Lytechinus pictus: one gene and its partner. The protein of the gene in region 1 purifies or fractionates together with the protein of each later gene. This does not show direct contact. Links are inferred from orthologs where the notes say so. Each region holds a gene or a part of one and is shown in the gene's direction. Other genes may lie near its edges.

Region 1 (7,213 bases):
AGAATGGAACCCTTCAACTATTAAGAACTACCATAGTAATCAACACATTGAATAGGGGCAACAAGGGAAAGACAAAGACAAATCACAGAGTAAGCTCTTTTAAAAATACTTTTTATCAAGTTTAGTATAGTTTAATGTTCAAAATACAATGTTCATACAACATTTCTCATTTATATTCATAAAGTACTTCATACATGTGTTTCACAAATATAGTTAACTTGCACATGGTGTCACATGTATCATGAAGCATGTTATATCCAAGTAATCTGTCAAACACTTGCCAGATTTACTTTTTACCAACAATCAAACACATTCAATTTAATTAGCATGATTACATAATTCCATACATCTTTTATGATTTCTTAAATGTTTTCACTGTTTCTTTGCTAGATTGTCTGATACTAATAACATTACCAAGGAAACTTTGCAGGCACCTTGATACCTCTCAGATCATAAGACATGCAAAACTTTGGCTTCATGATTGGAAGAGAACTTTTAATATTCAGGTAAAAAAAAAGCAATTGATCATAAGGGGGAATCCATTCCAATACAACATACCAAATCAATGATACAAAGAATGAACTGTGTCCAAACAAATCTCCAATTCTGTCAGGCTAAAAGTAAGATATCAATCTGCAAAACACACAGCACTTTAAAATAGCCCTTCCTCTCAGAAAAGTAATATTTATATAACAAAACATAATCTTGGAGTATACTTTGTGCGGTAGAAAGAATTCAACAAGACCCTGTTGTGTTGGCTGAATAAATAAAAAAGAAAAGGGGCACACAAGGTTTCACTATCAGCACACTAGCAAAAATTACAAATACCGGTAACATTTGTGAAATACCTATTCTGTTGGTGTTGTGAATGCTTTTTTGTAAGATGTTTTTTTCTTTTACTACAAGAAAATATATAATTATTAAATTCTAAGCATTTGTATCAACTCTGCAAAGTGCAATATAGCCTAACATGAAACTGAGGCTGATGAGTGAATTGGATTTAAAGAGGTAAGCAAATAGTAAACACAATAGACTGATAATAAATGGACAAGCAACGGTAAAGTTGTTTAACCCTGAATAGGGGATCTGAATATATGATAACTTCACAATGGAGTGCTTTATCTCAGCTGGGAAGAAATTCCCCCAAGTAAATGCATTAACAATATAGAGCAATTAAAATTTATTCAAAATTTTCGGAACATTATAGTTTTCATGGGTTCTGCGTTTGTTGCAAAATTGCTTTATCATCTTCAGGTATCTTTATAACATATAGCTAAATTTATCTGGTGCCGAGACAATTGCAATTTTTGTCTGCTGAATGGGACGATACAAGTGCCATTATGGAAAAATTGCATATTTGATGCAGCAATTCCAAATCCTGTAATAATAAGACTCTAAAATAAAAGCTATGGCGAGGAATGATGCCCAATGCCTCATAGCTATAAGAAAATGGTAATGGAAAAACTAATAAGTCTTCCTTTGATGTTATGACACCCTAACATACAGGTCATGTTAAATATTAACATTAACAATCATTAATTTGTAATGTATTCTTTGAAAACATCTGACTTTCCTTGAACAAAATTAACCAATACAAATTCTAATTGACATTCAATCTTTCATACTCTCATCAATCATTGCCTCTTGTGCTCGGAGCTCCTCCATCTTGAGTCCAATGGTTCTCCTCACATTCCTCTCCTGCTCCTCGCTCAATTTCACCATCAGATCCTCAAACTGAGACAGCGTTTCTTGAACAGCCTCCTTGGCATCTTTGAGATCATCATTGAAGTAGACTGTGCCTTTGGCCTCCATCTGCAATTAAAATAAATGAAACTTTCATAATTCATCACATTAGTAGCACCCCATAGAAAATTATACACACAAAAAGAAGTACATTCTACATAACAAATCTGTTTTTCATATTGAAAGATCAACACTTCAATCTTCAAGCTCTTTACGATTACAGAATGTGTACAACCTGAGGGGTGAAATGTAAAAAATAGATGAACAAACAAAACTAGACACACATGTACACATTAAAATCAACTAAGAAAAAATATGCATCTAAGTTCTATCCCAAGATACTGTAATGCGATTCAAATATGATGTACATGTATATGTAAACATGCCTTCAGTTATCAGTTCACACAAACAAGGACGGACCAAATAACAAGTCTATATTTACATCTAATGAAGATAGTATTAGTAAACGCTACTTTTCCCTTAAATTGATGTAAACATATTCTCCAACACACTTGACTATCAGTTTTGTTAAAAAAACTTTTCAAAAGATAAGATCTGAATCTTTTATTGATCAATAGATATGTTACTTGGTAGGGATGTATTCCAACTTATATTCACAACCATGACATGTCTCCCACAGATATATCAAAATGTCTCTAACTTTTAGAGGGTCTAACTTTTTTACACTTTTTTTTTCCATGGGAAATCTGTTCATTAACAGTTCATACTATTTACTATGATCAACAGGTTCCCCATTGGAAAAGTGTCATAGTAGATCTAATGAAATTTGTCTTTTTTGCTTTTAAAATAAGTCATGAAAGTTTTTTGGGATGAAATCATGTCCATCAGTTTTACTGAAAACCTTCTTTTTGCTTGTCAAATTTTTCAGGCACATTCGCATCCTGGACTGACAATGAATAAAAGTGACTCTGACTCTGGATCCGTATCTGTTCATAATACACTTACAGCATCTTCCAAGAGTTCTCTTGTCTCCATAAATCTGTCAGTCAAATCGTCAATTTCTCTTTTTAATTCCTTTTCAGTTATTCCTGACTTTTCATTTGAACTTGAAGAAAATTCTTGGGAATAATGATCCAGAAATTTAAGTCCTCTTGCTCTGCATAACAATTGTCTGTTGCACACGATGATGTCATTGTTGAAGGGTAGAAACTTTGAAATAGTTGATACCCTGTCCACCATCAGCCGTTTGCTGCTGCTGTGAACCCGTGATGAATGGCCACCTAACGTTACATCCGCGCCCGCTGGCGCTGGCCACGTTGGCGCCGCAGACCACGGACCGGAAACTCGCGTTTTCCTCCCGAGAAAACACGGGGCCGACCGGCGGATCAAGGTGGAGGCCATCATCACCGGAGGCGGAGATACAGCTGCAGCTTGCAGATTAGCTCGATGGATTAACTTAGACTAATAAGTTAGTCTATACATGACATACGCAAGTAAATCAAATGAATATTATGGGAATACAATGCTTTATTATCAGTAAAGTCTACGCATTAATCAAACACTGAAAAACTAAAGAGTGTCTGACTTGGCCCCGGGCTTGGCACAAAACTGAAAATTATTGGCCTCACACATGGACGCTGCCATTTTGTGTGAATATGAGGTTCAAATATATATCATAATAATGTGCTTCACTACCGTAAAAAAATATTCATCTCCCAAATTACAACTATTGATAAATAAAAATAATATAAAAATATTATTATATGAATATTGAATCTTTGAAAATTACTTTAAAATAATTTATGTTAAAAGAGAATATAAATTCAAGTAACTCTCGTTTAATGGCTTCCGCGAAGGATATGTTTACGGTTGAATATGTGGGACTGATTGTGAATAAACCCTGTGTAACATTGACTATTTTGGTAAGTAAATGTCACTATTAAACTTTCCGATTATTATGAAACAATGAACATATCGATTTTTTCAAGGAAAATGAGACTGCTATTTAATCAGATAAAGAGCTATTTATGTTTTTACGTGTAACATGATGATGGTGGCGGACGTCAGTCGTGGACAGTGCCAGTGGCAGTGCATTTTGTCATTGAATATGTACGCAGTGTGATTTGTGCACATGCGTTAATGTACACAGTGCAGTGCAGTGTGAGTGAGACGACGAGTGCATGCTGCATGCATTATGCCACTGCCAAGGCAAGGGCCACAGTGAGCATGATGAGTGTGAGGCTGTGGCAATGACAATGCGGCATAGGCATAGCTCAAATAGCGAAGAATTTAATACAGTGCCAGTGGAGGTAGAAGTTGAACTTGATGTAGGGAGTTCGGTGACTTTTTCTGAAATCTTGATGGAATCCCAACAGATTTGATACCGTTGGAAAGCTTGTGAAATAATAAAAATAATGGTGCTTCTATCATCAACTCATTGTCTGATATATTGAGGGAGATATTCCAATTTACAGGGGAAAATATGCAGATTTTGTTCTGTCAAAAAAAAAATTAAATGCTTGTTTGAGTGGGGAGACAGAGACATTTTGAAATCTTGAAGGAATCCCAACAAATTTGGTAACATTGGAAAGCTTGTGAAATAAGAAAAAGAATGGTGCTTAAGTTGAATCAAATATTGACAGAGATAAGACGAGAATGTGCAGATTTTTCTGACAGCAAAAGTAGATTTTCATAACTTACACAAAATGCAATGAATGGGACTGTGTAATCCCTTTTTTTAAGTGCAATGCGCTGCTATGCGTGGCAAGGCATGCCCTTGAATAATACATCATTTTATTCATAAAACTTCAAAGTTTCGGCCAAAGTTTCTTTTGGTATAGGTTTCTATATAGTACATGGTTTTTCCTCCCCTCCTTTAGTGGCTTCATATTTGTTTTGTACATGGGTGCACAGACAGATACAAATTCTGAAAGTGCTGGTCCAAAAATTGGGATTGTCCTAGACCAAAAGCTTCTGTCTCTGTTATGTTGGTTGTTCCGCTGAACTCTGTTGGCTCCACTCACCAAATACAGAGACCGAAGTTTAACTTGTAGCTCGATCTGTACAGGGACTCAATGGCCATAAGTTTACACATGTACATGTATGTGTTACGTTCAGATCAACCAGGGAAGTGGGAGTTTGGAAGTGGGAAGTCACTGTTTTTCCCCTTTTAAGTTTATTTTTCCTGTTTTGGTGCATTTCAGGCTAAAATGGAAAAATAATCTTTATTTTGGTACAGTTCTTTTATATATTTTTATGAAATAAAGACAAAAATTGATGAGCCCCGTCGGGGAGATTTTGTATTGTTAATCCCCTAATGGTGGCTGCACAAGAGCGAGCCGTCTGTGTACAAGGAGAAATAAAAAAATGATAAAAATGTTTAAAAAACTCCTCGTAACGGACGGCTGCCAGCTGTGTAGGATTGTCCCAGCTCAGAAAACAATTATGATATCCTCATATTCATAAACAAGTCCTCCAAGACAAATCATGTCTTGATAAATTGAGACTGTCCTTCATGTCCTTGTTTATGGGGACAGTTTTTTTTTTCACTTACCCCTGCGGGACATACATGTAGGCAGTTTCGGGGATTGAGAGTGCTAAAAATAGATTCAGTGACCTTAATTCCCCCCAGTTCACTTCCTTTTTTTCACGACTTGCCATCTTCCAATAATCTTGTTATGAAACTTGATATGTTTACATTGACTAAGTTAGCTCACTTAAAGTATACATCCAAAGAATCAAAAGTATTTTATAATGACTTTATGTGGTCATCATTGTAAAGGGGAAGTATTACTAATCAGATATATAACTTCACTTTTCAAAATAGTGATCAGAGATTGCAGAAATCAGCTCTCAAAAATGATTTATTTTCATGCCATATTTCTGCCTTCCACCGGTCCTCTTGCGAGCTCCAGCTGAGTGACGTCACACAATGAGCAGTGAGCAGCTGAGCTGACAGCAGCCCATTGGAGACGATCTTTCCAATCAGCGTTTTTTGCTCTTAGAATTGTTTATTCCTCTTAAGATTGGTCTTGTTATATAGATAAAAGTTTGAATTTACTGAACAGTGAAAAAAAGTGCACATTTAACGTATTTTGGTGACCGATATTTAGCTTAGAATTTTTTTTTTTTTTTCAAGAAATATAGGTGAATAAACAAAGCATATTTTCACGTAGAAATCACACTTGCGTCACATTAATGTTATAGTCAATATAAAGCATAGACATTCTTCTTTATGACTGAACAAAAATTATGAAATTTCATTAAGTAGCAAAGTCAGGAATCACAAAAAAAACACGGCAATATCCATCGCGAAATGACTGAAATTGCAGTTGAATTGCCGAAGCATTATTAGGAAACAGCGGCGAGCGGACTTTCTTTCATATATCTTAAAAATGCCTTCCTGTTAGGGCGATGGTCTGTGGCCAAATGCGTTGGCCATTGTTTTGTCATGTGCGAGGACCCTGGTTCGAAACTCGGATTTTTTTTTTTCTGGGTATTTTTTTTTTATTCCTTCCCCATCCCTACCCATCTTTTTTTTCTCTTTTTATTTTCTTGTGAAATTCTATTCAGACCTGTATTTATCAAATCTTGCTTCTTAATTGCTGCTTTTGATTTTCAAGTTCTTGATTAGATTATTTCTACTCTTATTTGGGATGGGAGGGGTAGAGTTAAAAGTCAAGTCCACATCAACTAAAAATTATTTGAATAGAGTGATTTCCCTTGTTGTTTTTACTCAAAACAGTCATATACACAAAACAATGATATGCAAATTAGAGTTGTCACTCACATCACATTCGTTTCTATTTTTTGTGGCATTTTGTTTTTTATTCTTTGCAGATTTGACGATAGGAAACTCTTCATCTGATCACAATAGGTTATATTTACGGAACTGTTAAAATAGTAATTATATAAATTTGAATCAAAGTTTTTATGAAATTTCCTGCAATATCTTGTTATTTTTCTTTAAATTCAAATGAATTTTTGATTGCGTGGACTTCTCCTTTACTCTTAATGTAGGGAATGCATAGCAAAATTTATCCAGAAACAAAATTGTCTTAGAATATGCAAATCAGTAATTGGACACATGTTCACTTTTCTTTCATCCAGGCCACTTCCTCACATCCACCAGGCTTTCAGTCTGATGATGAACCATCACACAACATTCACAGTGCTTCACAATAAATATTTCACTTCTGTTCATACATGCAATAAATATTGTGGAAAACAAATAAAAGGCGTACCCATATTCAAATACCGTTTAAAAGGACAAATATATTATACCTTTCGAGAAAAATCAGCACGTTAAATATCTGATAACAAAACATAATTATGGGGCACTGCAAGAAACTTATGTTCAATTGCAAATCAAGCGTAAGTCTTAAATTCAAATTTAAGCATAATAAGGTCGAGTTGCAATCGCAATTCAACTACATGTTTAATCAAAGGACTTTCCCTTGATTTGGGACGTGTGATTGAGTATAACATTTCTCGCAAAATGCCCTAGTAA
Region 2 (7,795 bases), on another chromosome or scaffold:
TATACCACAAAGTGCCATTGTCAGTGTTTTTCTATATTTTTGATAGCTTAAGTGCCTTTAAAAGAGTTTTGTAATAATTTGTCATGCAATTCAGCCTCTCATATTGAAAGTCATACTACAGCTATAAATCATGTTCCATATTACATTTTTTAAACCCAGTATTGTCATTTTGAAAAATTTATCATCATTTCCCTTCTTATTTAAATATTGCAAGACTACATCATTTCAGGTCTGTATAGATGACATGTCCGTTTAAAAATTCTCATCAGAGCCTTTTCAACATACTTTTCAGGATGCTGGTGTCGTACTTGGTCTTTAAGAGGATTATGCGTCTTCATACAAAGGTCAACTTTGTGTGACCTCTCAAATTATGCCAAAATGTACAGATTTGTTTGCATGTTGGTGTCGTGCATAACCAACTTTGTATGGAAGAGATAAGGAGAGGTTCATTGGATCAGTGAAAGATACCGGTGAATCAAATGAATTGACATGATTTGGAAAAAAACTATATTATTTATTTTTGCACATGATGATCCATGTTTAATCTTTGTGGAGGCATTTTTCAAAGCAAGCATGCTGTATATATGACAAGGTGTGATATTTTCAGTCTCTGCGTACAATTAGTTTACTATTGGCAAATCAAATTATTTGTTGATTAAAGACATACTTGTACATTTGTTATCTAAACTACTGCAAGCTTTAATTGACCAAGGTGTTAGAATTTTTTATACATTATGTGAAATAAGGATTTTTCACTTTTTATTTGTCTCTTAATCAACTAGTAGCATGATATTTTTATAGAGCATTATGATAGTTTGTACATCATGGACAGTTTTGAAATTTGTATTGAAGCCATGAACAGTAACTGGAATGTTTAAATTGCAAAGATTATTTCCGTCTTCCTATTTTGTAGTAACAGATCAAATCCAAATTAATTTTGATAAATATATTTCATGAAATCAAAGTACTGTTAAGCATCTTCGAGAAACTTCATTTCTATTTCAGTATATTGTCTTCTAGCTCCAAGGTAGCTAGATACTATGTTGTATAGTAAGTTCCGCAAGAAGGTTGTAAGTGCTATTACTATAATGACTTGGTACATTTTGTGGACTAGTTCAGTGAATTTGAATTTTTACGATGAATATGAGAATTTCTGTTTTTCACAATCAGGAAAATTGACCTGTTTTGGCTAGCTTTTGCTTGTGAGGCTGCAATCTTCATGACACCTTTGTTGTAGATGACTGCAAAATTGCCGATGTCAATTTAACACTAGCTCGGAATCTATTAGGTCCACACCAGTTTGGAATCAAACCGATGCTGTTTTGATAATTGGTGTTGTATAAACATGTCTGGTGTTAGACCAAAACCAAACTGGTGTTTAACACTTCTCTGGTGTGGACATACATAGATTCCGGGCTGGTGGTAAATCAACACCAGAGTTTTTTCAGTGTAGCATAGTTTCAGATGCAGCATGATAAAGTGTTGAGATGATGCTTGAAACATCGCAAGCAAAAGTTTGCCAAATGAGGTAAAAGCCATGCGATTAAAAAAAAGGTTTTTTTCTTTATCATCAACTTATCAGATGGCATGTCTTCTGTGATGTCATGAATATTTTTTATTTTGAAGAATAAAAAAATGGATTCTGAATTTTAATTGAATGTTACTTCAAACCTCATCTTCTTTTAAACCATGAAATATATCTTCCTGTAAATATTATTCTGAATAGTGGGCTACTTCATGCCAGTAATGTACATAACTTAGCATGTTTTCAAATTTCCATTAATTGATTTCATGACACACATTGTACTTTATATTGATTTTTTCTGGCTTCGAAGTGATATTCATCTTATTTTAACCCACCTTTGTATAGTAGTGAAAAAGCATTTTGAATGTATTTATTTTGTTGTGTTTACACTGAAACATTTTTATTGTTGTCTGTGTCGTGGAAACAAGGCTTTATCACTATCATTGTTATATATATTATATATATTAAAACTTAACTTTTCAATAGCGGTGTGATGTATGTGATCCAATGCTATGCAACTTTCAAAAAGAGATCAGGATAAAGGTCTGATTTCAACGTTGTACCCTTGTGAATGTTGTTCTTTCCCCTCTTCCTTTGTAAAATACTTCTTGTCGTGAAAATTTAGAAAAGCAATATATTGTAGTGCACATATACATATATAGATATATCTTATGTTAACTGTGTTTAGCAAGAATTTGGAAATGACATGGAAAATTCTCCGGCGTTTTTCAGCCTAAGGTGATATCATTTTCTTTCCCCATTTTCTAATCAGAAGTAGCTTTAGAATGGTTATAAGATTTTAGAGAGGAAGTGTAAAAAGAAAAAAAAATGATAACGTGGTGGTTTGAATATTATTATTATAGCATGCCTCATTCAGAGGGAATGATTTATGAGTTTAACCAATAACAAGCATCATAAAAATAATTCTATTCTTGTATATTTCCCTTTCGTATTATTGCATAAAGTTCTTCGATAAAGGGGGATTTCGAATAATTTGGTGGAAGCAAGTAGCGATGTACGAGATTGTAATAATAAAGTCATCTTAGCTTTTTCATGAAAAAAAAATGGAGAAAGTTTTGTTTTTTGCTTTGATGTTTATTGAAAAGTTTGAGTGAGGGGGAGAGAGAGAAAGAGAGGGGTGAGAGACAGTGGGGGTGTTCCGTATGTTTTCTTCCAGTTTAAAGTCGCTGAAAATAAAGGGGAATGGGCAAGGGCAATGAGAGGGAGGGAGAGAAGGGTGTAAATAAGTGAAAGAGAGAGAGAGAGAGAGTAACAGTGAGGAGTAGCATTGAGATGAATTGGATGGAGGGGTGGAGCAGAATTTAAAGAATGAGAAGAGGAAAAGGGGAGAGAGATAGAAAGAAGAGCAATATTCTGGTTTCCAGTTTTAAAGTTGTTGAAAAGGAAGGGGAAGTGGGCGGATGCCCAGAGAAAGAGAAAAAGAAGAGAGATGAAAGTATGTTGGAAACGATCGTAAAGTGTTCAAGTGGAGTGATAGAGCAACAGCAAAAGTTGAATAGTGAAGAAAGGAAAAAGCAGAGGGAGAGAGAACAGTCATATTTCCCATTTAGATTTGAAGAGAGGAGGGAAAATAAGCGAAGGCAGTGAGAGAAAGAGATGACGAGAGTGCCATGGAGGTCACGATGGAGGTATTGGTTACGTGTTCGAATGAACGGATGGGGCACATATTTGATGAAGGGGAGAGAGAGGGAGAGAGCAAAGGAGATTTCCAAAGGAGGAAGGGAGAGAGTGAATAGGGGATGGTAGAATGGAAATGGGATGGAAGAGGACAGTGCGGGGAGGGAGAGGGAGCACAGCCTGGAGAGAAGATCGAAGAGGAGAGGGAATTTGACAGAGAGGGGGGGGGGGGGCTATAGGGGTGGAGCTGCATGGGGGGAGGGAAAGAAAACGGGGGAAAGAGGGCCGGGAGAAAAGTAACACAAAACGGAAAAGGTGAAAATAAAAGGATATGGGAATGAACAAAGAACTTGAAAGGCAATCGATAGAAAGGATAAGGAAAAAAATATCGGGAGAGAAAAAAAAAACTTTGAAACTTCTTCATCACCCAAGAGTGACCAGAATTAATGAGAATGACTTCTAAGAATACAACATTTATATGTTTTTTATTGCTCCTCTAATGTATAGAAGGCACAGCTATTCACATTCAGCTCATTAGAGTGGTGGATCAGGGGGGGGGGGGTAGTCTGCTGATCCATCACAGGGGCAGCGGGAACGGGGGGGGGGGGTAGCTGGGGGGGGGGGGGCTTCAGCCTCCCCCACTTTTTTCCAAAACCGTGTACAAAAACGTAAAAATTACCATATGATTGTGATTTTTTGCATGGTCAGCCCCCCACTTTTGGCTCAGCCCCCCCCCCCCCACTTTAAAAACCGTTCCGCGGCCCCTGTATCAATGTAATGAATGAAAGTTTTAAAAAAATTGGACATTAATTTTTAATTACAATGGTGTTATTTATTTTCATTACTTTTCACAATTCAAGAGCCCATCAAAGGTGAAAACAGTTTTCTGCCCCCTTTATGGCAATGAATCCCGTTACGGCGCCGCCACCCCCCCCCCTCTTCTGCTAAAATAAACCATTTTTTTTGGGGGGGGGGGTGTTCTATAGAGAAGACCTATATTTCTTAAAAAGATCGAGACAAGAAATTCTTGGCTCGGCCGCTCCACTTACTCGCATATGGAAAGGTTTATGAGCAGTCATATCAACTCTTGAATTCCAGCCAGAGGTTCTAGCCCCTCTCTCGATACTTCATTGACAAAACAATTTGAAATTACGTGCAGCTATTTCACACCCTTTTCTTGCCAACATGGCCAAGGTGAGTTGACAAGAGCAGTTAATAAGGCTAAAAAAAAAGGGGGGGATGACGTATCCTATGTATATCAGACAATATTGATTAAAGGTGCTCGAAATTAAAAATGAAAATGTGTTTTTACAAAAAGAAAATGTTTAATTGATAGGCCTACAATCAATTGATAACAATTTGTTCTAATGTATTTCCTAATCATTCTTTTTTTTCATGTTTGCAAATTAGGACTTTATTACTATTATTACTATTTTTTTTTTTTTTTGGGGGGGGGGGTTCATTTCTATGACTGGATGATTGGTTTTTTTTTCTTTCAGCATTAATTTGACTTGCGCCATCTGCGGTAGCGAAACAAAAGGTGAAGAAAATAAAACTTCTTTACAGTTTTTGTCACTCGAATAAAATCTGGATTACAGTGATTATTCCACCCTTTTTTAGAACTGGAAACTTTCAACGTGCAAAACTCACCTACAGGTATCCAAAATAAGTTTAAGTAATGATTTTTTTGTAGAAAAACTGAAATAAAGTGGGGATTTCGATAGTGTGGGTTATGCATGTTTCTGCGTGGAAGGATAGAGACCATATTGTGCAGTTATTGTATGGGTAGCCGCTTTCGTGGAGTGTCGCATGGGATGCGTATTAAAAAAAGGCTCTCGACTGAGTCGACTCGTTCACGTTCGGACCTAGACAGGAATAACCGTCGTTTCTGGGGATTTATTCAACAATTTCTGACATTTTACTGTAATCCCCATTTACCGACGGTAGGGTGTACGTGTGGGCTCGCATGTGTTCTCATTCCCTCCCTTTTGTCAATTCACAGTCCAAAGTTTGATGTAATTTTACACATCGAATTTACAATCTAAGTAAGGATGTATAAACAACAAACTTTTAATTATTTATATTCCAACATTTAAATACTTTAAACGATATAGATGAAAAAGGCATGAAAAATATACTTTACCGATGTTTAATTGGGTTGAACACGATAAAAATGGTCAAAATGGCAGCCAAACTATAAAATATTTACAAACGAACGTCAACAATCACGAATGTGATATCGATATTGCTTTCGATATTATACGATCTGCTCCATATGCGAACGAAACCGAAGATAAACGATACTAGTTATACTAGTACTAGTACTAGTTATAATCGCGATATATCGATTCGAGACATTAAGTTAATAACGATAATGACGTCATTCAAGATGGCAACTTGCAAGAAAAACCGTCAGGTCAGGTGAAAATGTCTTAGATGACAGATTTCTCAATCATCCAGAGGATTTTTTTCAATAACTCCGGCCCAAGGTATGCAATTACTTAATTTATTTATATTTCCCTGATAATGGAAACCATGAAACTTTCAATTTTGCTTAAAAAACAGTTTTAAATCGCGATCTATAAAACGCTAGTTCACTATACGTTGGCTGTAGGTACGGGGCCCCATCCCCTTCAGTCTATGTATGGTGAGTGGAGCCAACGTAGTTCAGCGGAACAACCAAAATACAGAGACTGAAGCTTTTGGTCTAGTTCGGACCACTCACACAAGCATGCGAGGTTAGTTGTACTGTAGGATGGGGGGTCGGGTGTCCGGACACTTTATATTTTTGAAGCCTTCTTTTTTTGTCTTTGGATTACACTAAAAATATGAATTCAATACTTGTAATCATCTTCTATTGTGTTCTTTATATAATATTTCCTAACATTTTGTACTAAAATAAAAATTAATGAAACTTCGCTTTCAAATTTTTCCAAATGACTTTCTAAAATTGATCGTCCGGACACACAACCTGTCCGGACACACAACAACTGGGTATACTAACCTCGCACAACGCATGTCATTTCATAATGAATTTTGACGTTTTCATTCATCACACGAATGTGAGAGAATGATGAAACACGCCAAAATCTTCACTGTTCACAATATACTAAAAAAGTCTAAATTTATTCATCTAGGCCTAGGCCCAAATTTAATTTTAAAAATATGCTCGAACGTAAAGGGATTTTAAACGCTCACCTCCAAATCTCAGCCAAGATACTCCGTCCGATCCTTAATACTGCGGTGGAAATTACGCAAACAACAATCGAAATGCGAATTTTTCCTATCGAACAGTCTACTTTTAGATTCAAGTCGTCGGCGCATTAATAGGAAATTGTACCAAAAAAATCAACAGGTTACATCTCAGTTTTCAAGTATAATCGCTGATGGCGCTACATCATAAAATAACGCTGAACAGCGGAAAAAAATGCGGAGCGCCTAGAACGCAACCAGCAGTACAGCTGATCTGACGTAAACAAGCAAGTTCATTAAATAATATCGCGCGCCCTCTGTGCGTATAGAGAAAACCAGCGAATTAGGCTATTAGCTCCATGCCTGCTTCGAGTTCGACATCAAGAAAAATCATCGATATAAAGTACCAGAAAGACAGAGAGGAAATTAGATTGGCTTCATATCGTTTGGTAAGTTTCATATCCAAAGCTTACTTGATTTAACATGTAGTCTTGTAGATCTATTTCTAATTTTTACAAAAGAGGAATAAACTTATTGCAAGTGCCGTGCCAGTGGTTATCCTGTGCACGGCGGCGGTAATGTACCCGTGGTTGGTTCGGACTAGCCAGGAGGCTTCTTTTCTAGAGAATAAAAATCATTTACTAACGTATGCTTACTCTCCATGGAGCCAGGGATTACGTCCTATTCATGTGCGTGTACCGCGAAAAAATCTGAAACTTTCGCCCCAGAGTCGGAGATCAGATTTCTACTTTCTGTTCTATCAAGTATCAAATTATGTAAACGGAATACAACTTCTTTTCTGACATTTCTACGAAATTGATTTCACTTTTAAACAAGAAATCATTAAAAAATTGAGAAAATGTGAAAAGACAGAGACTTGCTCGATGTTTACACCCCCATCTTGTTTCTTATTGTTCTTTGCCAACGTTATAGACGCTACTTGTAGTTGTAATATGGTTATTGTTGGTCAATTTTTTAATTTTAACATTCTATCATTTTTAAAGCATAGTAAATGAATTTCCAAGCTCAATAAAAATCTCAATATTCATTTTGGTCGGCTTATTGTTGGTTTTGGGGTTGCAGGTCACAAATAATGTAGCTATCACAGCCGGTTCGAGATTACGACACTCGTATCTGTCACTGTGATAAATTGGGGAGATCAGTTACATAATATTGACAAAAACTCGTACTTTAAAAAAAATAAAAAAGGTATTTAAGGGAAATAAGTTTTATGGTATACAAAATAATTACATTTAAAACTTGCATCATGTACTTTGAGGTCCATAATAATCCATTTTACAGAGACGATCTTGTCACTCGTACATCCCCAAAAAAGTCGCCATCTTGAAAAGATCAAGTTTTGCGGGATCTGACTTCCGGGGTTTCTTTTCTCTCTCATATCGTCGCTATTCGATGAAACATCAAATTTCTTTCTTTGCG

The links.
Region 2: the proteins of ubiquitin carboxyl-terminal hydrolase 36-like (region 1) and ATP-dependent RNA helicase DHX33-like purify together in Homo sapiens (affinity purification with mass spectrometry; 5 studies listed by BioGRID and IntAct, counting the BioPlex papers as one, with this or other methods). This does not show direct contact. The link is inferred for Lytechinus pictus from reciprocal best matches to the Homo sapiens genes USP36 and DHX33.

What each region holds. Positions count from the first base shown.
Region 1 is NC_087254.1:19,789,766-19,796,978, forward strand, and holds the start of ubiquitin carboxyl-terminal hydrolase 36-like, read left to right. Parts: upstream 1-4,010; 5' UTR 4,011-4,029; coding exon 4,030-4,031; intron 4,032-7,213. Other genes in the region: uncharacterized protein LOC129269948, read right to left, coding at 1,612-1,812, 2,710-3,108. UniProt on the Homo sapiens protein: Deubiquitinase essential for the regulation of nucleolar structure and function. Required for cell and organism viability.
Region 2 is NC_087260.1:18,910,383-18,918,177, forward strand, and holds the start of ATP-dependent RNA helicase DHX33-like, read left to right. Parts: upstream 1-4,671; 5' UTR 4,672-4,819; intron 4,820-7,795. UniProt on the Homo sapiens protein: Implicated in nucleolar organization, ribosome biogenesis, protein synthesis and cytoplasmic dsRNA sensing. Stimulates RNA polymerase I transcription of the 47S precursor rRNA.